4 linked regions of the Tamandua tetradactyla genome follow. The protein of the gene in region 4 purifies or fractionates together with the protein of the main gene of each other region. This does not show direct contact. Links are inferred from orthologs where the notes say so. Each region holds a gene or a part of one and is shown on either strand. Other genes may lie near its edges. The genes, in order: ARFGEF1, OTUD4, SPAG5 and MYCBP.

The links.
Region 1: the proteins of MYCBP (region 4) and ARFGEF1 purify together in Homo sapiens (co-immunoprecipitation; 4 studies listed by BioGRID and IntAct, with this or other methods). This does not show direct contact. The link is inferred for Tamandua tetradactyla from reciprocal best matches to the Homo sapiens genes MYCBP and ARFGEF1.
Region 2: the proteins of MYCBP (region 4) and OTUD4 purify together in Homo sapiens (co-immunoprecipitation; 3 studies listed by BioGRID and IntAct, with this or other methods). This does not show direct contact. The link is inferred for Tamandua tetradactyla from reciprocal best matches to the Homo sapiens genes MYCBP and OTUD4.
Region 3: the proteins of MYCBP (region 4) and SPAG5 purify together in Homo sapiens (co-immunoprecipitation; 3 studies listed by BioGRID and IntAct, with this or other methods). This does not show direct contact. The link is inferred for Tamandua tetradactyla from reciprocal best matches to the Homo sapiens genes MYCBP and SPAG5.

What each region holds. Positions count from the first base shown.
Region 1 is NC_135332.1:111,147,047-111,154,271, reverse strand, and holds the start of ARFGEF1 (brefeldin A-inhibited guanine nucleotide-exchange protein 1), read left to right. Parts: upstream 1-4,208; 5' UTR 4,209-4,728; coding exon 4,729-4,852; intron 4,853-7,225. UniProt on the Homo sapiens protein: Promotes guanine-nucleotide exchange on ARF1 and ARF3. Promotes the activation of ARF1/ARF3 through replacement of GDP with GTP. Involved in vesicular trafficking.
Region 2 is NC_135348.1:22,904,359-22,912,122, forward strand, and holds the start of OTUD4 (OTU domain-containing protein 4), read left to right. Parts: upstream 1-4,745; 5' UTR 4,746-4,779; coding exon 4,780-4,938; intron 4,939-5,012; exon of another isoform or gene 5,013-5,140; intron 5,141-7,764.
Region 3 is NC_135332.1:51,827,259-51,835,184, reverse strand, and holds the start of SPAG5 (sperm-associated antigen 5), read left to right. Parts: upstream 1-4,923; 5' UTR 4,924-5,050; coding exon 5,051-5,101; intron 5,102-5,339; coding exon 5,340-5,465; intron 5,466-7,926. UniProt on the Homo sapiens protein: Essential component of the mitotic spindle required for normal chromosome segregation and progression into anaphase. Required for chromosome alignment, normal timing of sister chromatid segregation, and maintenance of spindle pole architecture.
Region 4 is NC_135328.1:186,514,628-186,522,302, forward strand, and holds the start of MYCBP (C-Myc-binding protein), read left to right. Parts: upstream 1-4,659; 5' UTR 4,660-4,677; coding exon 4,678-4,761; exon of another isoform or gene 4,762-4,956; coding exon 4,957-5,029; exon of another isoform or gene 5,030-5,410; intron 5,411-7,675. UniProt on the Homo sapiens protein: May control the transcriptional activity of MYC. Stimulates the activation of E box-dependent transcription by MYC.

The sequences.
Region 1 (7,225 bases), on a different chromosome or scaffold from region 4:
GAAAGTCAAGAAGGGTCAGATTGAAAACTAATAGGATTTAGAGATCATGTGCAAGGCTTTTGGAGGTGAAGTAATTTCCTAGTCACATGAATGTTACTCTTTATGATGCTAACAAATATTGCCTTTTAACTTGAATCAAATATGCACAATCTTAATTAAAATTTTATGCGGTTTGTTTAATTTTCATCGTACGCTGAAATTATATCTATACGTTAAAAGGACTATAATAAAGCACACCAAGAAACTGAAAACCAGATACGCATCTTTTAGTTTTGATATTATTTGACAACTTGGAACCAAAGTGGGGAAAATGTACAGAGTAAAGACAAGGCTGTCAGTGTGTAGCAAAGTTATAGATGAAAGGAAAGATGAAGGGTAGTCAGACTATAGAAAGGCGAGGTTGCACAATGACAGGCAAATGGACTCAGAAAAGCAATCATGCATAGAAAAATATATTTTAAAATTTAGAGGATGAAAGGCAAATCAGTACACAGAATTTGAATGTTTTGAAAACAGCAAGGAATCAAATGCAAGTGAATATTAAGATTGGGTTTCTTATTTAAATACATAGGGTAAGCACCAAACAAAACAACAATAATAAAAAGAAAAAGGTAATAAATGTACGGTGCAATACAGTCATAATTTTATGTAAAAATTACCTGAGTTGGCACCCTCCAGTCCCTTCCTCTCAGCACCCTGTGAACTTGTCAACAAAAGACTAAAAATAGTATCTTTCCCTTTATCTTCCAAGGACATCAGCCTTATTCCAAAGTGTTATTCTATTTTTGCCCCAAGTCAGAGTTAATATTTTGAGTTAATATCCTTTCAAGACTATTCCTTCCATACCACCATTCCTAAAACCTTTTAGGTGACATCCTAGACCTGGCAGGAAGGGGAAATGAATCATCCTCTGGGAGAGAGGAGGATGTAGGTTGTTGCTTCTGAAAGGGGTTGGTCATGTCTCAGAGGCATTGATTCTTCTGGAACTGAAAACTGCAATTCCCACCCTCAAAACTGCTTCTCTTGCAATCTAGCCCATCTCCACAAATTGCGTCCCTACCCATTCAGTTGCTCTTGTCAGCCCCCAACATTTTTTAAAAAATTAATATGATATATGTATATATACACTACATAATATTTCCCATTTTAATCACTTCCAAGTAGATAATTCAGCGGTGGTAATTATATTCACAATGTTGTGCTACCATCATCACCATCCATTACCTATCTCTGTACCCATTAAGCATTAGCTTTCCATTTCCTGCTCCCACTGCCACCTCTAGTACCCTGTAATCATCTTTCTGTCTCTGTGAATTTGCATATTCTAGTTATTTCATATAAGTGAGATCATACAATACTTGTATGCCTAGTCCTCCTCCATTCTTATTGACACCATATTCCCTTGATCCTTTCAGCCACTCTAATCTTTTTGTTCCTAAAACTTATCAAATTTCCCTCCACCTCAAGAGAATGTTACCTGGAAAGCTCTTCCTTGACTTAATTTGGCTAAATTTACTCTTCAGCTCTCAGTTTAAATGTCACTTCTTCAGGCAAGCCATAGCTGAATCCATAATCTAAAGTAGATTGCTTCATAGCTCTCTTCTTTAATTACAGCTCACACATTTGTAATCATATATTAACTAGTGATTACTTGTTTAATATCTTTCCTTGTGGCTACATACTATCAGCTTTACAAGCGCAGTGATCATGCCTGACCTAAACAAGTACCTTTCATTGTCCCAAGTTTCTAATCACTAAGTTTATACTAAAGACCTTTATATATCTAGGATTATACTAGGTGTTGGGTGAAAAAGATAGATGAGATCCCTACACTTATTGGGGAAATAGACCATAAACTAACAAACAGAACAGATGATTTCAGATTATAAAGGAGCTATAAAGTAGTCTATGAGCAGCAGGGATTTCTCTCTGTATTGCTCATTAAGGAATCCCAATAGGATAAAGCTAGCTGCTAAACATAACTGAAGAGTCTTTTTTGCTCACATAAAATCCAAAACAGGTATTCCTAATGAGTGGCCAACTCTCCTCCAAGTGGTAATTGAGGGATCTCTGCCATATTCAGCATATGGGCAAAGAAGAGGAATGAGTGTGGAAAATTTCTGTAGGACATTTAAAAAAAAAAAAAAGGTATGGTGGTTTGGAGCTATGTACTCCAGAAAAAACATGTTCTTAAACTTAATCCATTCCTGTGGGAATGAACCCATTGTAAGTAGGAGCATTTGATGAGATTACTTCAGCTAAGGTATGGCCCAACTCAATCTGGATAGGTCTTAATCCTATTACTGGAGTCCTCTATCAGCAGAGCAAAAGTCAAGACAGAAAGAGAGAGAAGGCCACGGGAAGCAAGAAGTTGAAGGTCAACAGAACCTGGAAGAGAAGGGAGAGGCCAAGAGAGGCTGCCATGTCCATTGCTATGTGACAGAGAAATCCAGGACCAAGGATTACAGGACAGCCAACCCCAGAATGCCAGTTTTTGGCAAGAAATCATCACTTCGATGGCACCTTGATGTGGAGTTATTTTCAAAACTATAAGCCAATAAATTTACATTGCTTAAGCCAAAGAAATTAAGACAAAGGGCTAAGTCTGGATGAACACACATATCTGCAAAGGAAGTTGGGGAATACAACGCATCTCTGTGATGAGGAAGAAGAGTTAAATGTAATCAGTGATCAGCTAGCACCTTCAAAGTGCCTGGCACAACACTGGCATTGTAAAGAAACAAAGTCAATAATAAATGGAGCTTATTCTCAAAAAGGTTTTAATCTATCAGAATGTATATAAGCAGTCAATATTATGTATGATCTAGGAATGTATTGAATCTCCAATTTCCATGAATCTAGAGAAAGACTTTAAAAACTATTTGTGGCTCCTTGCTTGTTTTTCTTTAAACTTACAGAGTTGATAATGTTTGTACAAATCAGTTTTGAGAAGTATTTCGTTGTGTAAATATTGTAGAGCAATTCCTCTCGAACTTTAAAAATGCATTCTGCATATTGATAATACTTATATAACCACTTGGTATTAGTATCTAACACTTTAATAAATATTTATTTCAGATCAATAAATAAACACATTTTAATTCTGGCTATATTGTATGGGGATCAATTTTTTCCTACTTTACAGATGAACATGCACAGTAACTGACATGTTCAAAGTCCTGCTGAGGCAAGTGGTCAATTCAGGAATAGAATCCAGTTGCTTTTTCCACTAGAATCCTTTCCTAATTGGTGCTACAATTCCAGTTGGTGTCTATTTCTATTTTTAACTGATATAAATATTAGCTCCATTTTTTCTTTTCCATTTATATTATTTGTTAATCTTCAATGGAATTAATGGATTTGTCACTCAGCATAACAGTACTAAAAATTAGTCATCTTAAGGTCTTCCATTTTTATTTCTTCTGGTTTTTAGCTTGTTCCAAATCTTTCCATTCATCGGTTTGCACAGTCGCATTAGGAGAAAGTTCAGAGTAGAGACAATGAAATGGAACAGAATAGTAAGAGAGACATAAGGATTAGTGATGGGGTGTTGATGGAAACACACAGTGGCTTGGAACTTGGAAGAATAGATTTCAGGTTCTTATCTGAGAAGTGCCCCCAACATCACTTGTTTGCGTACATTTTATAGTAAGTTGTTCGCGTACATTTTATAGTAGTCTCCGTAATTCTCTCCTCAAATAACGTAGATATTTGAATTCTTTTTTTGGTACCAAAGCAGACACATGGTCACGTTTGTGTGTATTTAGGATCATCTGTTTGTATTTAAAGCTCTTTTCATTTCTTGGACCGAAAGTTAGTGTTAAAGGCATAGAAACACTGGGCTCCAGGTGACCACATCACTCAGAAACATTGACTTGTTAAGCAAATTGAATCAGACTCAACACCGAAGTGACTTAAAACCTAGTTCATTGATTTATCCTACAGATACATGAAAAAATGAAACATTCCCGAACCTCTGTGAGTTGGTTTTAGTTTACCCTCCCAAAGAGCGAAACATTTCGGAGGAGGTGGGAGGGCACGGCACGGTCCCGGGGTCCGCCACGCCCCACGCCGCCCTGCGGGCGAACGCGGGAGGCAACGAGGCCCCGCCGGGCCGCCGTAGCGCTGCGCCTCGGGTCGCTCCTCCCGCGCCGTCCTCCGCCTCTGCCTCCCGGCGCCGCGGCAGCTCTGGACTAAGCAGCGCCGCCGCCGCCGCCGCCGCCGCCGCTTCCTCCTCTGCAGCCGTTCGGCCGCTGCGTGACGCGTCGTTTCCTCCCAACATGGCGGCTAGGGCAGGTCGGCGGTGATGGAGGCCAGTCCTCGGCCGCCTCGGGTGCTGACCCCACATTAGCCAGGGAAGTTCTGCTCTCGCCGGGCCTCTCAGCCCCCGCCACCTCGGCCTTCGGTCCCTGGCAGACCTCCGCCGGGGCCGGAGGGACAAGTGAAAGGGGCGGCTGGGAAGCGACCCCCAGGCCCGTAGAAGCCGAGTCCCGACGGGCGCGGCCCTGGAGGGGCGGCTTCTCGGGGGGCAGCGAGGACCTCGGGCTCCTGGTGGGCACCGCGGCTGGTCCCAGTTCCCCGCCCCTTCCTGCTCCTGCGCTGCCCTCCACGCCTCCTATCCCCCATCTCCACCCTCTATTTTCTCTTCTCTTTCCCACTTCCTTCACACCACCCCCCTCCGGCCTCTGGGAGCAACTGGTCGGACGAGCCGCAGCCTCCTCTGCGTCCATGTATGAGGGGAAGAAGACGAAGAACATGTTCCTTACCCGGGCCCTGGAGAAGATTTTGGCCGACAAGGAAGTGAAGAAGGCGCATCACTCCCAGCTGCGCAAAGCTTGTGAGGTGGCGTTAGGTGAGTGACGGGAGGCCCGGGGTGAGGTGGGGGTAACTGGCGCGGCGGCGGCCCCCGTCGGAGGTGGGGTCGACCGGGGGCTTGCCCACGTCCGGCGCCACGACCTCGGGGAGCCCTCGCGAAGCTCTCCGCTGCCTGGCAGGAGTTGATCGCAACTCGACTGGATGTGGGGCAGGGGAGGGTGGAGGAGGAAGGGAAGTTGGCTGGGCTCGAGGTGCGCGGCAGGATTTGGGCTTGCCCGGCACCTGCTTCGAGTCTGCAAGAGAATTTTGTTGGTGGGCTGTGCGGGATGGATAGGATACCACCCTTTGTGATGAAGCCTAAGATGAGCTGTTGTTTATTAGCATGGAAATTGAGGTGGAGCTGCTCTGTCAAGATTGTGTGTGGGGAGGGTTTCGTATCGCAATTACGATAACTTTTATTCGGCGTGGTACTTTGGAAAGATAAGGCTGAAGTTGTTCCTTGCTGACATTCTGCGAAGGGTTTTACAAGAGGTGCACCCGGTTCTGACATCTCTCCGCCTCCGCCACAGGAAAAACAAAACAAAACAGAGTAATGTATTGACTGGGCTGACCTGGAAGAACATGATCAGAGGTTAGGGGTAGTGGTATAAAAGCGGGGAGGAAAAGGACCTTTAGATAAACTGGCTTTCCGTGACAGGAGATGGGACGGTTTGAAATGGGGAAAATGGAAAAAGACAATGACACCCACCAGCCACATGTCTGGACAGCGGCAGCTGCTCGCAATCTTGAATTGTGATTTATAGTTCAGATGGAAGAGATCTAGTGTAATGAAGCTCATAGCAGGATAAATCTAAACAGTACTTATAGCAAGGACGTGGATTTAGGAATGATTAAAGAGGGGGACACTGTTCAATCGCATCCATCAAAGATGAAGTCGTTTAAGGGGAGAGATCAGGACATTTAACACAAAGATGAATTTCTAATGCTTAGGCTTTATTTCATAGCTCTAGAAACAGACTAGGCCAAATTGATGAGAAAAGGAAGCTTGTTAAAACGGATAGGCTTTGGAAAATAGTGTTCTTGAAGGAAGGAATCCAGAATACTTGTATGTTTATGCCAAATAAAGGGTCAAGATGGCTTAAAAATAGTTTTGCCTTTTGAATATTAAAATAAATAGGCTATGATTTAATTTACTTAACTGTTTTCTTCATTTTTGATCCTTAAATTTGGTAATATTGAAAAAAATCAAAGAAATTTCATCTTAAAGTTTTTGCATCCATGTATAATGGGCTTAAGTTTAGTTTCCTGCACCTCTCATGGATCAGAAGTTCGCCTTTTGTTATTCTCGTAGCTAATAAAATGCTGTTTCAGGTATATGAGAACATAATGGTACAGTGGTAAAAATTTAATTTATTTTTGGGTCCTGAAAGAAATAATTATTAAATTGTGACAGGTTGAGATTTCAGAGTTTTAAAAAATGTTGTTATATGTAGGTATATGTATAACTTGTAGGCTTAAAGAACTTAAAAGATTCAGCCTAAACATTTAGTTTTTGATACTTCAGATTTTTCATGTTAGAAAATATTTGTAATATAACAAATATTATATTCATTATAATAAATGTCAGACTGAAGAAATGGTGTGTGTTGTGTATAATATTTACCCTCTCCAAAAAAACTTATACAAATAAGTGTGTTTTATGGAGAGCTTACTGGAAGGAGAATCTGGGAACCTGGATTTGAATCTCAATTGTTATGATCCCATATCAGGCAAGTCCCTGGGCCTTAAAAATCAAGATATTGAACTTAATGACTGTAAGTTCACATCCCCTTTAATGTGTCACAAATGTGAATGCTGTGTTCTTTTTACTTTTTTAAAAAATATTTTCACTGATAAATCCTCACACATACATTCCATGCACGGTGTACAATCCATGGCTCACAGTACCATCACGTAGTTTTGTATTCATCACCATGATCATTTTTTAGAACATTTGCATCACTCTAGAAAAAGAAAAGAGAAAAACAACTCATAGTACCATACCCCTTATTCCTCCTTCTCACTGATCACTATTATTCCCATCTACCGAATTTATTTTACTGTTTGTCCCCCTGATTATTTATTCTTTATCCTTATTTTTTTACTCATCTGTCCATATTCTGGATTAAAGGAGCAACATACACAAGGTTTTCACAATCTCACAGTCACATTGTGAAAGTTATTTCTTTATACAATTGTCTTCAAGAATCAAGGCAACTGGAACACAGCTCAAAGTTTCAAGTACTTCCCTCCAGCCACTCCAATACACCATAAACTAAAAAGGGATTCTATAGAATGCATAAGAATAACCTCTAGAATAACCTGTTGACTCTTTGAAATCTCCCTGCCACTGAAACTTTGTCTCATTTCT
Region 2 (7,764 bases), on a different chromosome or scaffold from region 4:
TCCTTTCCCCCCTTGCTCCTCCCCAGCTATAACCCCTCTCCAAAAAGTGGTGGGTTCAATTCATTTATTTTTCTTTCACAAAACGATTTGAAAGTGAGTGTTCCAAAGCTTACAGGCCATGAGGCATTTAGAGACCCCAGTTCCTCCATCTATTATCTTTTTGCATGCCCAAAGCTGGTCTAATAGTTCAACCATCTTTCCAACCCAGCTTATAGGAAGTGGGAAAGAGAGTAGAGGGCAGATGCTTCATCTTCAAGATGACCTGGAAGCTGAACCCATCAATCCTGCTCACATTGCATTGGCCTAAATACAGTCACATGGTTATATTCAGCTCCAAGGTAGGTTGGGAAACGTGGTCTGAAGCTGATCAGCCACAGACCCAAAACTCAGGGGAAATGGGATGGGAAGTAGAGGAGTGTTAGGGATCTCTTGCACAGAAGATCTGGAAGAAACTGTTCTCACTTCATAAAATAGGTTCTTTGTAGGATTCAGTTGCTTGACCTTTTATAGAAAATAAACCAACATGGTATGTCGCAATTAAGTCCAGACATTTCTAGGTTACTTCATTTATGTGAGAAAAGATTTTATAAATAAATTTTAGAAATCCACTTACTGGCTAGTTTGTTTTTGGTAAAATATTTCACATTTATTTATTTATTTTAGAGAACTTTTAAGACCACTAATGATATTAATTAGTGATTATTTTCATGAATTATTGAAATACATTCCATATCAACCTAGTAAAGAGAATGAATGGAGAATTCTATCTCTATTGCTTATCTATTGCTGTATAAGAATTATAACACTCCAAAACTTAACAGCTTAAAACAACAAATGTTTATTATCTCAGACAACTTAGATCAAGAAGCTCAGAATCTCAGTCAAGAATCTCAGAACTGGAAGTTTCTGGCTCAAGATTTCTCATGTTGTTGCGGCTGAGATGACTGCCAGGCCTGCAGTCATCTGAAAGCTTGACTGGCCTGGAGAGTCTGATTTTAAGCTGACTCACGTGGATGTTGGCAAGAGGCTTCAGTTCCTTACCAAAGGAAACTCCCTAAGTCTGCTCACAGCACATAGAAGCTAGCTTCCCCCAGAGTGAGTGAACCAATAAAGTATTTGAGAGCAATCCAAATGCTGCAAATGTTTTTTTATGATGTCAGAAGTGACATGCTATCACTTTTGCTCTACTCAATTTGTGGACGGGGTAGGTTGGGGAGGGGTGGTGAATATCCAGAGGCAGGGATCATTGGAAAGTAACCATCTTTAGAGGCTGGTTACCTCAATACCTAATTTCCTATTAGGAAAATAAAAATCCAGAAAATCTGTTTTTTAATAAAAATTTAAACAATTCAGTCCAATGCAATCAGTCTCTAGTCCCAAAGTTCGTCAGAGGAAACAAACCGACTTGAGGTATTGATTGTGTACAAGAAGAGTTGGTTGACACGTTGACATAAGGTGAATTTGATTAATTTTACTTGGTTCTCAGGAATTACAGTCTTTTAGGTTTTATTTGATTAAAATGATAGCTGTTTAAAGAAGTTCTGAATTTTGGCAGGTCAGAAGTGGCTTCCTCCAAACGAACATTTTCAATCAGAGCTGGTCCCTTGATAAGTTTCAAATGTTAATGTTAACATATGACGGGCCTTTGAAAATAAGAGACTTTCTCTAAGTTTTGGTTCAGTTTAAAGTCCTAGGATCCTCTAATCTAGGTTGAACACTGAGCTATATTTGGGGATTTGGCATACAGAGGGTCTGTCTTGGATTAGGTCTCAAAATACCTAAAGGATTTCCTTAAACAGGCCCCTGGGTCAGAAAAACAGGTGCATGACTTCTAATTTTGGAACCAGAAGCAGCCAGTTTAGTGTGAGGCTGTTCTGCATTCATTCAGCAAGGGTGAGGACAATAAGTAATTTTTGGCACTACATCAACTCTAGGAAAGAGTAGAAATGGTTATTCCTTCAGATAACAAACCACAGTTTTATAAGATCGTATAGAATTGTGGTAAACTGATAAAGGCCTCTGTTTTCTTAGTATTTAGTAATTCATTTTAAAAATATTGAAAGCAAGCCCTAGTGCCAGACTCTACCAGAATAGTTACAATTTATTTAAATGATCATGTCTTCTTATATTGATAATATTTTTGTCTTTGGATTACATTTTTTGCAATGGAAAATAAAGTGTAGAATTAACGTGTTTGGTTTCCTTTTCTTTTTGAAGTATTTCTAGGGAGTTCTGGGGTTTTAGAAGTTATAACATTATTTTTTAAAAAGTCAGCACATTTGAATAGGATTAAAATATGGATAATCCATAAAATAAAAATATGCTTGAAGCACTGCCAGTTTCCCATGAATGTAACTTATAAAAGTGAGCAAATCTTTTTTATTTGAAAACTCTTTTTTAAAATTAAAGTAATGTAATCATGACATTTCAAATACAAAACAAGGGTTGATAAACTTCGAAATGTGAAATACCAGGAAATACAAGTTTCTATTATATTCTCAAGATATTCAGCATAAAATCTTAGCATGTTCTATACAGCTCGTTTCCTATAAATATATATTAAATATGAGATTAGCTTCAGAACTTATTGAAGGAATATTAAAATAAAAGCTTGGAAAGCCATGGTTTTCTTTAGTCATGGCAGAAAGTATGTTATTTATAAAATTAGTGAGATAGAATCTATTCATTTCTGGAATTCAGTATTAAAACTCTACAGTTCAGACATTACTTTGAATTCCTCTGTGGGTTTAAAAGGCAAGCCATGTTGTGAGTAGTGGCAATACTTGGCAATTTTAAGATAGTGTAATGAGTAGCATATGCAATGTAAATATACTCAAAGAAAGAAAAGCAACAGATTTGATCTGAAATTAGATTTTTCTGAAAGTGATTCCAAAGTGTTTCTATACTATCTGTAAAAAATTTAATATTGGGACAAAGAAATCCTTTCACGTAGGTCAGATTAACGTCTGTATTCTCTGAAAACAGCACAATTTGAAATAGACTCTTTAAATATTAAGAAATCAAAATTTAGAAGCTCCAAGGGAAATTTACGCACTACTACGTAAGTGCTTGTACCTAAAGAACTGGAAATACATTTCTAAGAGAGTTTTCATTTATGTTTTTCACTTATGTAACTTATGTTAGACACTCACCATTTAGCCTCCCTTGGCCCTATTTCAAAGTGCTTATTCTACTACCTGTCTAAACCTATAGAATCCCTCTACTTTCCCTTCTCCCTCCAAGGCTTCAAAGCTTGGAGCAGTTTCTACAATTAAACACATTTAAATAAGGACTCCAGACGCTGTTGTATTTTAGCAAAATAAATTTCTGGCGTCCAAAAAGTATGCTGGATAAATTCCGGGTTCTAAAGCCTCTGACTCTGCTTTGCCAATTTCCTCGTCATTCAACTTTGGAGGGTAGGAAATTGAGCTGGAAGCCTCAGCGCTCTTAAAACCCATGGCAAGTCTGGTACCTTATCAAGCAATTACAGGACTTTTTTTTTTTTTCTTAAGAAAGGATAAAATAATTTTAACTTTTTTCTGACCGCTGACTTAGTTGTCTGCGTGTTTGGGGGCACAGCTACAGTGAGGCGATGGACAAAACCGTCTGTGGCAAAGTCATCACCTCGCCGTAATGCGTGAGCAGTATTTCTAATTTCTAAAAGGAATCATCAGTCCACGGTTGATTTATGGAAAGCGTGTGTCGTGCCTCACGCCGCCAGTTCCAGGAGCCTTCGCCAATTAGCTCTATTTTCTGCTTAAGCCATTAAAGCCACCTCCATGGAAACGCCAGGAGGGTAGGCCGGGGGAGGGGAGCAAACAGGTGCGCTCTCTGGAAATACACAAAGGGCCGACATTGCCGCCGCAGTGTCCCTGGCAACTCCACGCACGCAGGATACGCGCACTTGCGCGGCACCGCGGAGCAGCCGGCAGCCGGTCAGCCCGGGCGGCGCGCGCAGGCGGCCGCGCATCGGCTCGCGGAGACCCTGGGCCTGCTCGCGGCCGCGGGGCCCGGGAAGCGGGAGGCGGCGCCGGCGCTGGCGCTGTAGGGACTTGTAGTCCGCGAGCCTCCCGGGCGCCTCCTCCGCGTAGGCCGGTCCGCGCGTCCTCACCCGCCGCTATCCGACTTCCTGCCGCTGCCAAAACTACACCTCCCGCCGACCTCTCCGCTGTCGGGCGGAAAGCGAAAACAAATTCTGGGCTGCGAGGGTGCAACCCTCCTTCGGGTGCCCCCACCCGCTCCCCGCCCCTCCGGCGTCCTCCCGCGAGGTGGGGAAACGAAAGGCCGCTTCTTTCTCTTTTGGTTTCCTCGGCTGCTTGCGTGGGGAACGCGTGAGGGACGCAGGCCTCGCTTCACCTCAGCCGGCCCGGCGCCCTCGCCCGTGCGGGGCTTTGCTCGCCTCACACCAGTCGGGACGAGGAAACTTGTGGAGGCGGTGACCCCCCGCGCCCTGTCCAGTTCCTGAGCCGGGCGGCGAGGCCACAGGGAAGTGACTCCTCACTCTCGGGTTTTTCTTTAATTTTTTTTCAACGTGCTCCGCCTGGGCGCGTGGTCCCTCCGGGCAGGCGGCCGCGTGCGAACAGCCATGCACTAGGCAGGGCTTCCCCTATGCGCCCGGAGAGCGCGGACCGGTGCCTCGGGCCACTGCCGCCTGCTGCCGCCGCCAGCGGAGCCCGAGCCGGAGCCGCCGTCTGCCCTAGGCCGGGGCGTCGAGGAGCCGGCGGCGCGGCCATGTGGGGCTAGCCCGCGCCACGCCTGGGCTGCAGGAGCACCGGCAACATGGAAGCGACCGTCGGCTTCCCCGACGGCGGGGACCAGGGCGGCGCGGGGCTCCGCGGGGACGCGACGCCCATGGATGCTTATCTGCGGAAACTGGGCTTGTATCGGAAACTGATCGCCAAGGACGGGTCGTGCCTTTTCCGGGCCGTGGCGGAACAGGTAATAATTTGGCGGGGGTCAAGGGGAGGCGGGTGCGGCCGCGGGCAGTTGTCGGGCCGCCGGGTGAGGCTGCGCGTGGCGCCGCTGTCGTCATAGCGGCCCATTGTAACGCCGGAACGGGTTGCTGCCTTAGGTCTTAGAGCTATAAACCGGAATGTAAAAGCCTGTGAGATGACTGGGTGTCGCCTCTCCTGTTGAAAAGGTAATGAATCGACGACAACTTATGAGGCCTGCTCTGAGCCATGTACAGTTTGTATGCTTTGCAGGCTTGGTGAACAGATAATTTTCTGTTTTGTTCCGCATTCATCTTCCCTTCGTTCTCTAAGCATAACGTTCACATCAGTAAACCAGATGTTTCCTGGAGGAGGTGGCGCATCAAACTTTCCTCGTGGAATATGTGTATTTTTGTTACCAGGCTTTGGAATGTGGGGTATTCAAGCCTTCCGATGTCATGTCACTCAATCAAGAGGGTAAAATTTGCAATTTGGGAAAGCGCACTTAAGAAAAACAGGGTTTTGAAAATTGTCTTTGAGTAAATTCCCCCTCTCACTACGTTCTGCAAGACAGTGTAAGTACACAAAAACGGAATTCTTTTTTTAAAAAAGAATTTACTGTTTTGGTGTTAGTAGTAGGCACGGCGTAAGTGGAGAGCCTCTAGGCCCTCCTTGACCAGATGTTTCCCTGTTAGTGGTCAAAATCACAAAATTGCTTAGGGCGGTGCTTCTGTTCCTTGAAAGGGCTTATTCCAGGCTGTATAATACATGTGTAGCTGTAGGTGTGCAGTCACCAAAATCTGGCTTTATTGAAAAAGAACTACTGAAGTAGTTGGGTAAAAGTTTTACATTACTGCTGTAGTCTGTATTTCACACCTTTCAGTTTGCTTAAAATCTGTGCCCTGTCCATGAGTTTTTTATGATCTTCTCACCTTTTTTTTGAATGCTAGTTAGCTTTCAGGGTTTTTGTTTATGAGTAAATATTTTACTTAATGAACACCTGGGGAGCAGTCCATCCTCTTTTTCTTTTAAACTTCACAGACCAGTCATCACTTTTCCAAAGATTGCTGTTTTCACTTCAGTGACATAAAATCTTTTCTTTAAACAAGCAATTGATTTAACAAGTATAAGCCATTTTCACTAGGTTACAGGTATTGTTTTTCAAACTTTCTTCCTAAAGTTCCCCAAACCAAGCTCCATCTTTTTCAATTCCATTAGGTTTTGCTTTTTAGAAAATGGAATGTTTGGTGTTCCTGTGGTGTACTCTCTCTTTCATACACATACGCGCATGCGCGTATTAATTTTCCGTCCCCTTTTCCTTCCTCTTCCTAAGACTCCCTGAACTCCTTAGAACCTCTAGAAGCTGGGGGAAGAAGTGGGAGTGATTTCAGCCCATATTTATACATACTGTTAGCTGTAGCAAGAGTCTTATAAGGAAGGAGGTAGAAACTAATTGAAATAAGAGAAGTTTGGAGTGTATTTGGAGTTGGATTATCCAGGCTGTCATTTATATTGAAACAGAAAGGTGTATCTGGTTTCACCATTACTTGCTATAAATATTTTGCAAACTTGATTATACAGAGGCGTGTAAATTATTGTAATGGGATCTCTAAAATTTTTTTTCTTAGTAGAAAGGGGCATCAGCTAGTTAGACTAAGGAATCATTGCTAACATCAGATAACACTGTTTTGGTGTATCTTACTGTACTAGGATTTACCTTAGATATAAGGAAATATCCTCCAATTATGTGAATGGTTTTTAGTACTGAGCTTGGAAAGCTCAACACTGTGAACTTGGGAGCACCCCACTTCTAAAGTAGACTTGGACTAAGGGTATAGCAATCATAGCCAAAGGCAAAGTGTATATGGGAAAAGGGAAATAACAGTGGCCTCAGGCTCCTCCTATAAAATGTGTACAAAGGGTTTTGTTTTTTTTGTCAACTATTTCTCCTATGAAGTCAATATAAATATCCCTCATTTCTAAGAAGGAGACAGAGTAAGTAATCTAAAGGCAGTCTTTAGAGAGATTGAGTTAGGAGGAGTCTTTCCCTCCACATTACCTGATTTAGATAGGGAAAGATAGGCCTTTCCCTTTTTGCACTTGTAGAATTCGGCCTGCAGGAGGCTTGACCTCAATCAGCTCCACAGTTATGGAACTAAAAATAGGCCACTCTTAAGAGGACTTGCTAAAGCAGTGTGCCTTAGCCTTTCCCAGTTTTTATCACTATATTGTTCTAAGATGGGAAAATCTCGTAGTTCTAGCTCATTTCATGCATATAATAATTTGCAAAGATAGGTATATGTCAAACCCTTTTAATTCTTCCTGAATTAAACTTGCACAATCATTTTTTTTAAGTTGTCATTTAACCTTGCTTCTCTTGCAGTGAAAAGAGTTTCTCTTGCTTTGTAAAGCTTTATAAAGCACCCGTGCCTCCACACTTTGTGGATGTTGCTGAGGATTGTGCTTCTGATTTCATATGCCAAAATCTTTCTTAGAAGAGAAAAAAATGAGATACACTTGCCTTTATTATTTTTTTTGTTGCCATTGTTTTTGATGGGAAATGAGCCCTTATGTCTGCCACCTGTTGCTAGGTAATGGTTTTAGGACTAGCTTCACTTTGGTAACAGCAGGAAAAGTCTTATCAGATAATACTGTGGTTGATTCATAATAATGTTTAACATAGCTACTGTGAAAGACATTTTGCTAAATTTCATTTGTTGAATTGGCTGTCTGATTGTATGGTGATTATTTCACATGTGAATAGTCTTTCCAGTGTTGGAATCTTAGTGCTTTTCTCTAGTGTTACAAGACAGTAATGAAAGTACACTCACGT
Region 3 (7,926 bases), on a different chromosome or scaffold from region 4:
TATATTTTTATTTATTAATTCCATCCTTGGATTAGGCCATATTTTCCCTGTACATAGTTGGCATTTTATTGGCCTCTGAAAAATTGCTTTTTCTGAATTGCACTTTGGCATGGTGCCTCCTGTATTCATTGAAGGTTGTCTTAAAGAAAGTCCCTATGAAACTTAATTGCTGTGCATAATGTAAAGGACAGTTATCATTAAAATTCATAGTGTTCTATCTGAGGATGCATGGGAGAAATTTTTTCTGGTGATAGTTGTGCTTTTCCAGAATTGCTATTTGGTTTTCACCTTAAATACCCTGAAATTATTCAATTTATTGTATTTTTCTCTTTGTACAAGATGCTAGACCACGTAGAACCTAATTTGTGGCCCACCTCCAGCTAGTGTTTAGGACTTCATGTTGTGCATTTTGTGTGTTAGCCACATTCTTGGCTCCATCTTCCTTTTCTACCTTTTCCTTAACCTTTTTCTAAGTTTTAATCTTTTGATCTTACTATATTACTTGCGTCTTTGTAAGCTTTTTTGGAATAAGGTTGGGATATAAATAAATAAAAGAATGTATCCTTAATCCTTTTGATTATCTCATTTGTTTCTCTTTGGACCCTTTTCTAGCATTATTACATTAAAAAAAAAGTAGTAGTGAGCAGAACTGTACATTGAAAAAAAAACCCTGAATACTAAAAATAGGAATGATTTCCAAAGTAAAAACATTATGTTGAAATTCAGACCTGGTGCCCGGATCCACCAAATACTAACTCAGTGTTTTTAGACAAGTCATTTTAACCACTCTAGATCTTAGTTTCCTGGTGTATAAAATGAAGGGGTTACAATCTGTGGTTCTGAATTGTGGGGAATGAGTTTCAGATTTGTGTAACATTTTCTCAAAGGGCAGATGCAGAGATCTGATGCTATGCAATACTATGTGTCTGGCCTACTGTTAATGTTCAGGTTGCCCAGCAATATACTGGCCTTTCTGCTTACAGTAGCATAATGGGTTAGTCTTTAGGAAATGGTTAGCATAATGTCACTAGAGTCCTTTTCCTAAGCCATATTAGATAACTTAGAGACCAAGATCATATAAGTGTAATTTAAATCATTTCTTCTCAAATGATCACATTTCCAACCTTCTCTTTAATTAGCTGTTCACTACAGCAGTGTTTTGCAGGGTAGAGTGGAGAGGTTGATAGAGAATCAAAAGTTTCAGAAAGTATCACTGCCCCATCCTCCTTCCCGAACTCTGATATGCTCATCCCTAGAGGACATTTTCTCTTCCCCACCTCCCACCTCATTCAGAATAACTAACCTACAAATGTTACACCCTTTAATTATTCATATGATATTCACTTAAAAAAAAAACACCTTATATATACAACTTTTCTAATCACCTAAGTTTATTCCTATGCTTTGCTTTTCATTACCTAGGGAAGACAGGAAATACACTTATAAACACGGATATCTCACTCTATATTCCTCTCTTTTATAAGAATTTAAGATTAGTCCTAACAACCAATCTTATATATTCTTCTAGAAAAGTATTTGTGGAGTGCTACTCATTGTTTCAAATCACTAACCTAAGTTCCTTTATCATATATTGATCTGTTCATTTGTTTGTTTGTTCACTGATTTAACAAACTGGTACTCTCAATTCCTTTGTTACTTCTTTAAGGAGTCTTCAATGTAGAATCCTGTCAAGCATTTTTTTTAATTAAATAAAATCACATTCACTGGTTCACTTTTATGAAAATGCATTATTAACCTCTGTGAAGAGTTCTAATGTATTAATCAGGAATGATTTTTTAATTTACAGAAAAGCATACTACCTTTTTCCCTAGGTCAATTTTGTTTTATTCTGAGAACATACTCATCATTTCAGATTTCACTGGCCTCATCATGAATTTGTTGTTTATGGGGTCCCAGTGACTAGCAGTGGCACACTGCTTCCTTTGTTCAGTTCTCCATCGTATTCAGCAGCAGGGCTAATAATTCCACAATTTCATCCTTGAATTCACTCAGAACTGCCTGGTAGGTATTCCTCAAGGTAGCTGATTTGTTCAACAAAATAAGAAATCTCTAATTCAAAAATTAAAAATCTGTAACTTAAATTGAACACCTATCTCATATCACATGCAAAAGTTAACTCCAGATAGATTAAAGCCTTAAATGTGATACATTAAAACAATCTTAGAAAATGATCATGATGATGAATATATAACTATGTGATGATATTGTAAATTACTGATTATATATGTAGAATGGAATGATCATCTGGTAAGAATGTTTGTGTTTGTATGTTGGTACATTTAATAAATAAAATAAATTTAAAAAAATATCTTAGAACAACTGGGGGACTAGAACTACAATCAAGGGATGAATGAGATACCTAAATCAAGACAGAGAATAAAAAAACTGTAATTAAAGACATATTTAACCACATAAAAATGTAAAATCTTTCTATGGTCAAAGATACCATTAATAAAATCAACAGACAAACAATAGACAAAAATATATTCGTAATATGATGATAAAGAGCTACTGTCTTTAACAGAACTCTTACAAATGGGAAAGGAAAATGAAATAATCTATTTTTAAAAAGGGAAAAGGTATATGAAGTGAGAAGTCAATGCAAATATCAGTTGACTTAGAAGGCTTTCTACAAAACCTTGAGTGAGAAGAAAATGCAAACAAAAAATTACTTCATTTTTATAAAGGACTCAATGTATGTATGCATGTGCATGCGCTAGTACATTCATGAAAAAGTATTAAGAGAGAAAGAGAACAAGAATTTGGGAGACAGAAGTAATGCAAGTGGGAAAATAAGAGGAAAAATATAATAAAGGTTTACACTAGGCCTCAATCCCAAAGACTCATCAATTAAAATTCTGTATGTGTGATTGTGCAAAAAGAAATTATAAAGCACTAGAGCTACATTTACTGACATAGGAATATCTAGGATTAATTGTTAAAAGCAATTTACAGAGTCAAGTGTATAGTTTGATTCTCCTTCAACAGACTCACAAGAAGCCCCCTGTATATGTGCGTGTGTATGTTGGTGTAAATTTGTGTATGTTTGTGTAGAGGAGGGTAAAATGGACAGGAGAGGCTTTTTCTTTAATACATCTTTGCATTATATTATTTTACTTGCTATAATCTATTTTTTTAATAAAATAAAAACCAACAAATCAAAAAAATATTATGCAAAATAACTTCAACAAACTAATTCTGTTTATATTATCTATTATTCCCAATGGCATTTTCTTTTTCATCTACTCCATACATATTCCTCCTGATTTACTGCTGGAAGTACTACATCACTTTGGCTACAGCTGACATCTGACACACTGGCTGCAACAAGGAATAGCATTCCAATTCACACCTTTTTAAATTTAAATTTCTCCTGGCACTTAAGAATTTTCTGTCTTGGTTTTTCTGCCACTTCCCACCCTTGTCTTATTTGCTGCATCAATATTAACTAGAAGTGTGCCTTGGAATTGAGCCTTGGGCAATCCCAGGCTCAACTTAGTCTTCTTATATTGTCTTTTCCAAACTTCCCATTCAAGCAACTAAGACTGTTATGTTTCTAGAGCAGTGCTGTCCAGTAGAAACAAAATGAAAGCCATATAAGTAATTATAAATTTGCTAATAGCCACATTAAAAAAGCAAAAAGAAACGTGAGGGTGGCCACGGTGGCTGAGCAGGCAGAATTTTCCCCTGCCGTGCGGAGACCAGGAATCGATTCCCGGTGCCTGACCATGCAAAAAAAAAAAAAAAAAAAAACCAAAGAAACGTGAAACTAATTTAATCTATTTTATTTAACCCAACATTAAAAAAAAAAAATCGTTCCAACACGTAATCAATATTTTAAAATGAGACCAGTATTTATTTTATACCTATAGCACATCTCAATTTGGACTAGCCACTTGTGAAGTGCTTAATAGCCACATATGGTAGTGGCTACGTATTGGACAACATAGTTCTAGAGAAGCCCATCCCCTAAAAGCCCTGCAGTTCATAATTGTTCCTCCTCCTTGCCTTTTCCAAACTCGTTAAGATTTCTAGAATGTAAATAAGGTGCTGTGAGTGTTCAAAGGAACATACACTCTATCATAAACCTGCCTTTATGCTGTTTTCGAAAAGTTGATTCCACCTTCAACGGATAAATCTCCCCTACACACAGGATTTAAGTGGCAGGAGAACGTAGTAGTGGATTGTGTGGGTTGGAATCTTGGTTCTGCCATTTACTATCTGAGGGACTTCGTGCAAATTACATTGTCTCTCTATGACTCAGTTCTTTCATCTATAAACGGGGATATTTATAGTACTTCACAGGCCCTTAAGAGGACTAAATGAGCTAATAAAGCACTTTGGAACAGCGCCAGGCAAATAAGAAATGTTCAATACATGTTTCAGTAAACTTGTCTCAGGCCTTAAGTCCCAAGAAAAGACCAGAAATCCTGAAGAGGCATTACCGCCGCCCGGGGGCTGCAGACTGGTTGGGAACTGCGTCTCAGGCCATCGCGGATATGGGACCCACGTGCAAGACCTCCAGATCTAAGTGAAACGCACTCTTCCACTCACCTCGGCCTTCCTGACTCCCCGGCCGGCTCATTTCCTGTCAGGTCTGAAGCGGTACCTGAGGAGAGCCTTCCCAAGACCAGGCCTCGAGGCAACCTTCCTGACAAGGTGTGAAGGTGGTCCATTGGAAGGAAGCAGGAGGGATGGACATCCTGACTCTCCAGATACCTGCGGCGCCCTCCCTCACCTGAAAGCTCAGGACCTGCAGCGAGCCTGTCGCGTCCTGCCTGCCAACGCCTGCGCCTCGCGGTCGCTCGAGGAGAGTGAGCGAACCCCGTGGCAGGCGCGGGAGGCGTGCGACCCCCCCCCGGCCCCGCCCACCCGTCGCCCGCCGGCGCGAGTCCGGAACAGACGCGGCGGCCTGACGCACCTCGGCAGCCAATCGGGAAGCGTGGGGCAAGTTCAAATAAAGACGGCGGGTGAAGATGGCGGCTCCCCTCGGGTCTAGCAGGTAGTCGACTTGCCCTCTACCCCAAAGATGTGGCGAGCGAAAAAACTGAGCCTCAGCCTGTCGCCTTCACCCCAGCGGGTAAGCGGGAGAGCCTCGCGGAGAAAGGGATCTGGGGCGGGGGCGCTGGCAGTGCCGAGTGTCTTGGAAAGCTGGGTGGAGGCTGGGCCGGGGTCCGTAAGGAACCTTGTTCCGTCTGGCCTCTTCAGCGCTACTGAAGCCCGAACCTATTTTTCTCATCGTCTCAGGGGCCTCTAAGGGAAGGAGAACGGCCAGCCCAGGGCTGGATTCTTCACTCTCGCTCTCTTCTCTTTCCCAGGGAAAACCAGCTATGAGAACGCCCCTCCGAGAACTTATCCTGCAGCCTGATGCCCACACAAATTCTGGAAAAGGGCCCGCTATATGCTCCTCGCTGACCCCATCACTGTGCAAGCTGGGGCTGCAGGTGAGAGTCGCCCGGCTTTTCTACTGGGCACTTTGCCCAGGTCCAGAGCTCAAAGGAACAGAGGGCCAGGGCTGGAACGTAATTAATAACGATAATGAAGTCTTTTACCTCAGTAACATCCATTTACAGTTATTCAGGCCAACAGAGAGGTACCCGAGGTTGGTTAAAGGAAATCCACTGAGAGCCCAAACCTCTATTTAGCTGTTAGTTTTTATCATCCACTCAGCCTGTATTAAACTGCTGAGAAATACTATCACTGATCGGTTGGCTCCTTCTTACATTGGCTCAGTAAGGGAGAGGTCGATCTGTTACAGCTGTGAGTCAATATCCATCCACTCCATGAGGTAGTCCAAACTTTACTGGGGTCATGGGAGGCTGGGTATATCACTCTTAATATGGACCACCTTAGTTTAGTCTCTTGGAGCTGTGACCGCTAAATTCTGCGTTTGTCAAAGATTTTGAGAGAGGCAGCGGTATAGAAACTGTCAGATTAAGAAGTTGACCCCGGTCTGTAAGGTTCCTCACAGAAATTTCTTTTAGAACTTATCACCTGGAAAAATGGTCTTCCTGTTCTTGTCTTTTTCTACTGATAATGAGACCCATGTAGTTTCTCATATTTTTCCTCATCCTCTGGCTTCTAAGAAGCTCGGGATCATACTTGATGACCAGGTATAGCTACACTTACTTCCTGAAATTGGAAGATTTGCTTCTTCTTTCTTTTTTGTCTAAGACTTCATATCTTTTTCATGCAGTCTGAATTATTTTTGGAAGGAGATGGGATATAAATAGGTTTAAGAGTAGAAGAATATATAAAAACAGATAATACCCTGAGTAACAAGTTTGAGGATAGCAGTTTTTCTTGAAAGAGTTCCAACACTTATCATCCAATAGAACTTTCTGTGATGATGGAAATGTTTGACAATCTATGCTGTCCAGCTTGATAGCTGCTAGTCACTTGAAATGTGGATAGTGGAACTGGAAAACTGAATTTTTTATTACATTTGAATTTAAATATCCACATGTGGTTAGTGGCACGCATATTGGATAGTACAGCTTAAGAAAGAAAATAAGAAATACTAAGTGGGAACTGATGTCCATAGAGATTATAGAATGTAACCATAGCCCTTTAATCACAGTAATAGAAAAGACTAGAATTTGTGTCTCCTGCCCCTCCTAACTAGAGAGTTTGCCCATTCACCTTCACCATCTCATAATATAGTCAACTATACTAACAAAAAGGGATTTTTCCCCTACAAAATAACTATTATTTTTATTTTATAAATTTTGATTATTTGTAATAATGCATGTTCATTGTTTGAAACATGAACAATATTAAAAATAAGAAAATACTTTCCCACTGATTTAGATACCTCATTGATATATTTGAAAATCTTTTCATTTATCTCTGTGTGTGTCTGTTTTTGTATGTATTTACATAAATGCACATCCATGTATTATAACACTTTTTTTTAATCAAGGCACTTTTTTTCCCCAAAATGCAATATTTTTCTCCCTTCTTCCTTCCCTTCCCTCCTCCCTTTTTTCCTTCTGCTTAGCTCTACTTTTCCTTTCTTTTGCTGGTCCTGTGGAGTCAGTACTTCCAAAACATGCCTTGCTTTTCCCAAGCCATTTAACAACCTGCTGTGTATCCTTCTGTATTTTTCTCTGTTCTTTTAATAATATGCAAACATACATAGTTATTTTCATGATAGAATCATATTATATACTTTTTTTGCTCTTTGCTTTTTTCATTTAACAATGTGGGTGGAAGTCACTGTAAGTCAACTTTGTAGAACTAATTCATAGCGTACCATGGTATGTATAAATCACAATTTATTCATTAATGGATATTTATTTTTCTGTGTTTTTTTTTCTACAAACAATCCTGGCGTAAATATCTTTGTACATGTATTAGGTACTGATGCTTTATTTTTATTATTAATTTTTAATTTTTTTTTAAATGTAACAACAAACAGACATTCTTAACATATGATCATTCCATTCTACATATATAATCAGTAATTCACAATATCATCACATAGTTGCATATTTCTCATCATGATCATTTCTTAGAATATTTGCATCAATTCAGAAAAAGAAATAAAAAGACAGAAAAAAATTCATACATGCCATATCCCTTACCACTCCCTTTCATTGATCACTAGCATTTCAATCTACTAAATTTATTTTAACATTTGTTCCCCCTATTATTTATCTTTATGCTGTATGTTTTACTTGTCTGTTGATAAGATAGATAAAAGAAGCATCAGACACAAGGTTTTCACAATCACAGTCACATTGGGAAAGCTATATCATTATACAATCATCTTCAAGAAACATGGCTACTGGAACACAGCTCTACATTTTCAGGCAGTTCCCTCCAGCCTCTCCCTTACATCTTGACTAACAAGGTGATATCTATTTAATGCGTGAGAATAACCTCCAGGATAACGTGACTCTG
Region 4 (7,675 bases):
TAACGTATATATAATTATTAAAAAGTAAGTAAATGATAGTCCCACCACCCAGAGATAATCATAGGTAATATTTCAATGAATATCCTTCTAGACTTTTTGTATGTATCGCTACAAAGAAATAGATATTTTTACAATAATGGGGTCATACTATTCTATATCAAGAATAGACCTAAAAGCCAGACTGATAGGACTTGAATGCCAGCTCCAACTGTGCGACCTTGGGTAAATCAATTAAGGTGGGCCCTAGTTTCCCCCATTATAAAATGGGGAAACATACTTCATGGAATTTTTGTGATGGACCTATTTTGTAGTTATACCATCCTAGTATTTTGTTTGTGTAACATTTTCCTTTATACAAGGGATATAAGATAGACTTTTTTTTTTTATGAAAGTGAATTAAAAGTCACTCTTTTTATCTTTCCTTTGAGAGCCCAGGCTATCAACCTTAATATGGAACCCACTAGCTGATAATCCAGTTAATTATAAGTTTCTCTATTGCTCCCTCAAAAAAAGCAAGCTACATGTCTTAAATAGCTCAGATATTGATACAATGAAAATTTCTATAATACCACCGTGTGCTGGTTTGAAAGGATGTATGTACCCTAGAAAAGCCAGGTTTTAATCCTAATCCCATTTTGAAAAGGCTGCCATTTCTTCTAATCCCTATTCAGTACTGTATGCTTGAAATTTTAATTAGATTATCTCCCTGGAGATGTGACTCAAGAGTGGTTGTTAAATTGGATTAGGTGGAGACATGTCTCCACCCATTCCAGGTGGGTCTTGATTACTTTACTGGAATCCTATAAAAGAGGAAACATCTTGGAGAAAGCGGGAGATTCAGAGAGAGAGGAGAAGAATGTCAGAACCATGAGAAAGCCACAATAGAGAATGCCTCAGAACTACAAAGCAGAGAGTTCACAGTCAGCGACTTTTGGAGATGAAGAAGAAAAACGCCTCCTGGGGAGCCAGAGAGGAAGCTAGCAGATGATGCCGTGTTCGCCATGTGCCCTTCCAGCTGAGACAGAAACACTGACCATGTTCACCATGTGCCCTTCCAGCTGAGAGAGAAACCCTGAACTTCATCAGCCTTCTTGAATCAAGGTACTTTTCTCTAGATACCTTAGATTGGACATTTCTATACACTTGCTATACACTTAATTGGGACATTTCCATGGCCTAAAAACTGTTAACTTGCAACTTATTAAATTCCCCTTTTTAAAAGCCATTCCATTTCTCGTATATTGCATGCTGGCAGCTAGCAAACTAGAACACACCACTACACCAATGATGCATTGATTTCAAGTAATATAAAATTTTGGCACTACCAAAATAGGTGACAACTTTTGTGGACTAAAAAAACTAATTCAATTTCCACAGTAAAAGCCAGATCTGTTTCCTCTGGTTTTATTAAATGCTATATCTTACTTATCAGATGGAGAACATTTATTTTCCTTTGTGTATACAAGAGAGTTAAATGATTAATCTTAGTAATAACTTTTATATAAAATAATCTTAATAAAAAGATATGTAAGATCCAGTTGGTAGGTTTAGGAAAACTCTATAAAGCTCCCCAGTTTAAAAACAAGACAAACTTCCTATAAACTAAGTAAGAAGATTCCTTTCTACAATTCTATTAATAAAGAATATATACATTGCTACCCCAGGTTTCACGCTTTTAAAAACTGCATTATGAAATCTAAACATGATTTTAAATTCTTGACTTATCTTAAATATTTTCCTAGTTATAATTATTACTGCTATCTAGGGGAAAGGTAAAGCAACCAACACAATGAATGATGCTTTGTTCAAATTTTGGCTATAGGTTTGCTTAAAGAAATTCTTCAGAACAGAAGAATTCACCTATCTCCTATTTGATGGGATTCAGAGCTAAGATGGCGGAATAAGTAAACATGGAGAACTGGAATTTCCTTGAAATTGGAATTTTCCTTGAATTGGAATTTTCCTATTCTGGAGGAACTTCATACTCACTCCACTATAATTGGGAATATCTGGCTCACCATCCTGTTCATATTTCGAATGCTTGCTCTGGGCACAGCAGCTGAAGATGTATGGAATGATGAGCAGTCTGTCTTCATTTGCAATATAGTCTGTCTTTATTTGCATTACAACCGGCTACAGAAATGTATGCTATGACCAGACCTTTCCTATCTCCCTCATTAGATACTGGGTTCTGCAGGTGGTATTTGTGTCTTCACCGTCCCTGGTCTACATACATGGGCCATGCCTTGAACAGACTGATCGTTTTGGAGAAAGAGAGGCAGAGGGTGAAAGTGCAAGTGAGAAGAGAACTAGAAGGGGTAAAGCTTGAAATGCCTGGGGATCAGAGAAGATTGGAGCAAGAACTTTGTCAGCTGGAGCAAAGAAACTAAATAAAGCTCCATTCAGAGGAACTTGACTTTGCACTTATGTGATACACGTTTTCACTTGCTCTGTGGTTGAAGCTGGTTTCATGATTCTACAGTATCTTTTATATGGATTTCACTTAGAGCCTCTATTTAAACGCCACAGCTACTCATGTCCAAATATAATTGTTTTGTCTCAAGACCAACTGAAAAGACAATATTACTTTTATTTAAGCAATCCATAGTCACTCTTTCACTTTTCTTAAATATTCTAGAAATTGTCCCCCTTGGTTTTAATAAGATTAAAAGAGGGCTTTGGGGACAACATAAATTGAAGGATGAACATAATGAATTCTATGTGAACAACTGAAAACAAAAGCCTGCTAAATATCAGCACCCATCTATAAACTCACTGAAGCAACTTCCTACTGCACCTGAGTATAATCTGTTAGTGGAAAAGCAAATTCACGTAACAGCGTACCCTCACTTAAATACATCTATATTACAGGCAAATAGTGACAATCACTTTAGAAATAACAAACGTCTTTCAGATGATCAGGATAGTTTCTGAGATATGCACAATTATTATTACATGGAGTCATCTTCAACAGATCAGTTCAAACAATCATGAAGGGACTCATAAAATACTTGAATAAGTGTAAACAATTAAAGGAAAAAAGAAACTGATGGCAAAGTCAGCAAAAGGAACTACTCTAGAGATCACATTTCTTTCTATTCCAAGTGTTGTTTAGATCTGGACAACCGTGTGGGATAGTCCCCCAAACTCTACCAGGAAACCAAAGCAGCTTATCTGGGGAACATGGGGTTCCTCTACAGAGGATCAAAACTGGATGTCCAAAATGTAGCCTCAAAGCCAGTCCAAAGAGGGCACAATCAGACCCTTCCTCCTTCAGAGTGACTCCCAGCCACCTGACATTCCAGGTACTCCTGAATCTCTGAAAGAACTGCCTTTTGAATTTGAATTAATCAGAACCCACAATACATTAGTGCTTGTCCTCCAAATCATTTAGTGTCACTGACCAACAACTTCATTGGTAGGAGGGCTCCCACAGACCTTCAGATCTGAACAGCTGGTGGCTTTCAAACATTCTGCATATGATATTATAGAAGTAGTCTAGTGAGAGGAGACAAAATAGATCTTTGAAGACCAGCTGTGAAGATAGACACCTATAAACCCCTTAAACAAAGAAAAAAGAAAGATAAGTCCTAGAGTAGCTTTAAATTTAAAGACAGAGTTATAATCAGGGTTACTTCTTCATCACCCCCTTCAGAATGTATGAAGAACTGATTTGGGGACAACTGAATATTCAGCATTGAGAAAAAAGGTGTGGAACCAGGTTTTCTCTTTGAAGGAGATTGTTCTTTTCTATATAATTCCCTTCTTTTAATTTCCAATCTTTTTATTTATGGACACTGGGTAAAATGTATTTGCTCCCAGAACTAAATAACTTACTTTCATCATAGAAAACTAATGTGTTTTGAGAACAACCATAATGCGGCTATTTAGTAAATACAATGTTAAAAAGATCTGTGGCTTTTCTTCACTAGTTTAACTAGTGATTAAAAGGGGACTCTCGAGTGGGACTGCTCGGATCAGAGTCTTGCCTCTGCTACACACTGGTCACCTAACTTCTCCTCCACCTTACTAACAGCATATAACCTTCCAAAGAAGGGTTAGAATTAAACTCAGAAACACACGGATTGAGTACTGTGCTAGGCACACAGTAAGTTGCTCAAAAGTGCTAGCTATTATTATTAGCATATTATTTACTACTCACCTTCCAGAGGCCCAGGTCAAGGTCAGCCAAACAACAAGGAAAATACAAACTTAAAAGCTGGTACCCAAACATACTTCTAAACATTCTCTCCAGGCCATTGGAAATCTAAGGATCGACCTGCGTCTGCAACGGGCCCTTTATCATCGTGAGCAAAGACCAGTAAGCACACCTTCCAGGCTCCCACTTGGAAAGGTCCTCCGTCGGCCAACGTCGCGGGCTGCGCAAACTCCGCTCCCGAACGCCACGCCCATCTCCAATCCCACCTGGACACTCACTCACTCACTGGTCCAGAATCATCAAAGCTTCGCCTCTCGCTAAGCAACCGAGTCGCTGCGTGGACCGGAAGAGGAAAGAGAAGCACTGCTCCGTTGGCCAGAGGGGCGGGCGTACGCAGCCTCCCTCGGCTCAGTCAGCTGTGGAGAGGCAGAGCGTCCTGGTCGTCATGATAACAGGCCACGCCCCGGCGATTCCCCACCGTATTTTGCAGGTGCGCAGGCGCTTGCGCCCTTCCGCGCATGAGCAGTACTGCTCGGAGCCCGCCAGCCACGGTCTCAGGCGCCAGCTACGCCGCGGCCGCTGTCACTATGGCCCATTACAAAGTGAGGGGAGCGCGGCGTGGCTGGGGACGTGCGGGCGGTAGCCAGCCGCTGGTCGGCTCCGGGTGGGAGTGGGGACGCGCGCGCAGGTTTTGGGGGTCTGAGGTAGTGAGGCGGAGGCGGGGTTGCCGGACTCCCAGAGCCTTCTTCCTGCTCCGGTCCCCGGGCTTCGGCCACTGACCCGCCGTGTCTCCTCAGGCCGCCGACTCGAAGCGCGAGCAGTTCCGGAGGTACTTGGAGAAGTCGGGGGTGCTGGACACGTTGACTAAGGGTGAGCATGGGCTAGATAGAAGGTTCCTCCTGCCCTCGTCGGGCTCCCCGGCGGTGCGCCCCGGACGCGGCAGTGAGTTGGGGAAGGAGAGGGGAACAGGTGGGACCCACCTGGCCCAGCAAGGTGGCTCTTGGGCTCCGCTGGGAGCGGCACGCCGGGCGGGGCTGCCGGACGCCGCCCTGCTAGGGGTAGCCTAGCTCACGCTACCAGTCTCTGGGTCGGGGAGTGGAAACTCTTGCAGCTGTTGCAAAGTCTTTCCAACTTCCGTTGCTTTGCCTTGAGCAGCCGCAGCGGGCGTGTTTGTTAAAGATCTTGAGATCCGGATTCTTCCCACCTTCGTTTTTTACGGAGCCCTCTGAATATTGTTGAGAAACATCTTCCCTTCAACAAAGGGATAAGTGAGAAAATTAGCAGACAAAGTGGACGATAAAGTAGCTGAGTCTAATAACCCAAGTAGGCGATTCATAGTCAATTTGGCTGTGGCTTTCAATTCCCATTTTTTAGTCTATATTAACTCCTATTTTGTGCAGATTTCATACTTAAAGTAGAATTACAGTTTGAAGAATCTGAAGCACACCAAAATGGTTATACTGTTTTCGCTTTTAAACATGGAAGCTTACTGTTACACTATTATCTCTTCTTCGGGATTCAGGATCTAAGTAGATGAGTAAGGGGAATGAAACTGGAAGGTTCCAAGAGATAGCCAGGGTGCAGTTTAGTTTATTAGCTCAGCGTAGTGTCAGTGCTTGTGTATCTTTCAGTTCACTGTCTGGGATTTTCAAGGGTGTAGAGTGGACGATCTAGTCGGGAGGAGGTCTTGGGTCCATATGAGAAGAATAGGAAGTATCTGAGAAGTAATTTGCTAACTGTTCTTCGGGCACAAGCAAAGCTTAAAGGAAAATTCTGGGAGAAAAATAACTGTGGGTCTTACTAGAAAGCAGAGCTTTTAATTCCCCTGCATGGGATGGTAGTTCTGAATTGCTATCTATTTTGGGCTCAGATGTTAGTTTTCCTATCTCTTTGCAAATAAATTTCACGAAACATTAAGGGAAAGTGCTATACTATGTTGCCTCTGAAAGTATCACCAATGCTTAGAATGTTGCCAGCCCCTCCAGCCAAAAAAACTCCGTAAGTTCATTTCTGTCATTTATTTAACCATTTTATTGAGGTCTGGGCACTGGGGAGACAGTAGTGGAAATAAAAAAAAAAAGTCCCTGCTCTCATGAGCTAATATTCTAGTTGGGGGAGACATATAATAAGTAAATACATAGTGTCAGCTAGTGTTATGAATAAGAGGACAGCAAGATAAGAGGATAAAGAGTGATAGATGGGATGTGGTGGTGGATGACCTCTCTTAAGAAGTTAAGTTTGATCAGAGACCTGAATATCAAGTATTATGTGATGTCAGGGGTTCCAAGAAGTTTAAATCTGCCAGAGTGGTGGGATGGAGTGAGTGAAGGAGAGAATAGTTAAGGGCAGAGAAATGTTGGCTGTGGTAGATGGCTGCACAGCTTTGTGGTATAAGGATTTTACTTCACGGGAGACTGGGAACCAGCTTCCTCTCACTTGCTCGCATCCACTGGAATCTAACCCCTCAGTTTCCCTACATAAAGTCAGACTATTTAATATTGTTAAACTTTGGTTTTCAGCTTCAAACATTATATACTTTAGACAGATTTAATATATAATTTTTATTCAGTGTATTTCCAAGAGAATTTGGAACTGCTATAACATTAAAACACTATAAGGCAGGATGGCTAAAGATAAAGATGATTATAAATAATTTAGAAGAAGAGGCATCTTAGTAGCACATAAGTTGATTATTTTGAGCACTATTTCCACCTCTAAAATTCCTGGCTGCTAAGGAAACATGATCAGGTAGAGCCTTCTTGTCTGATTAAAAGGAAGTATACGTCATCTATAGAAAAGCACAGAAAACTTAAAATATATATTCTGTAATTACTAACTTTGTAATTATCATTCACAAAAACTTAGAAGCTAAAAAGTCAGTGGGGGAAGAAGCAGAGGAAAGGGTAGAGTGTAACTACCCATGAATTTTATAAACCCATGTCTTATAAAATTGGAATCTACTGGAGGACAATGGAAATTAATGGAAGAAGAAACAAGTTTGAGCATATAATTTAAAGGAAGTGGTAGTAAATATGGGAAATTAAAGAGTACTATAAATATCAGATATTGAAAGGAGAGAGGAGGAGAGGAAAGGTGTAAATATGCCAATTTCTAAAAAAATGCATTATAAGTGCATTTAGAGAGATGAAGAGTAACTATTAGAACTCAAAGTAAATTAAATGTAGTTGTCTATTTGGTTTTTTTCATATTGTCTCTATTTCGGTAAGTGATTGAAAAACAAAGGGAAGCATGTAAGGAGGCTCGTAACTTGGGGCTTAGATAAGCACATTTTTTACTGTAACTTGTTTTGGCTGTTATCAGATTTTTAAAAGTAAATTCTAAGAGGAATTTGTTCGCTAGATGATGAGCAAAGTAGTGCTAACATGAGCTATATGTTATGAAGACATTAAAGTGTATTATGGATTTAAGCATGCTGTTACTGGTAAAGCTTTTGGTTGTTAATTAACATGCTGTGTGTGAAACCTGATTCTTGAAGAATATTTTGAATTCAAAGCT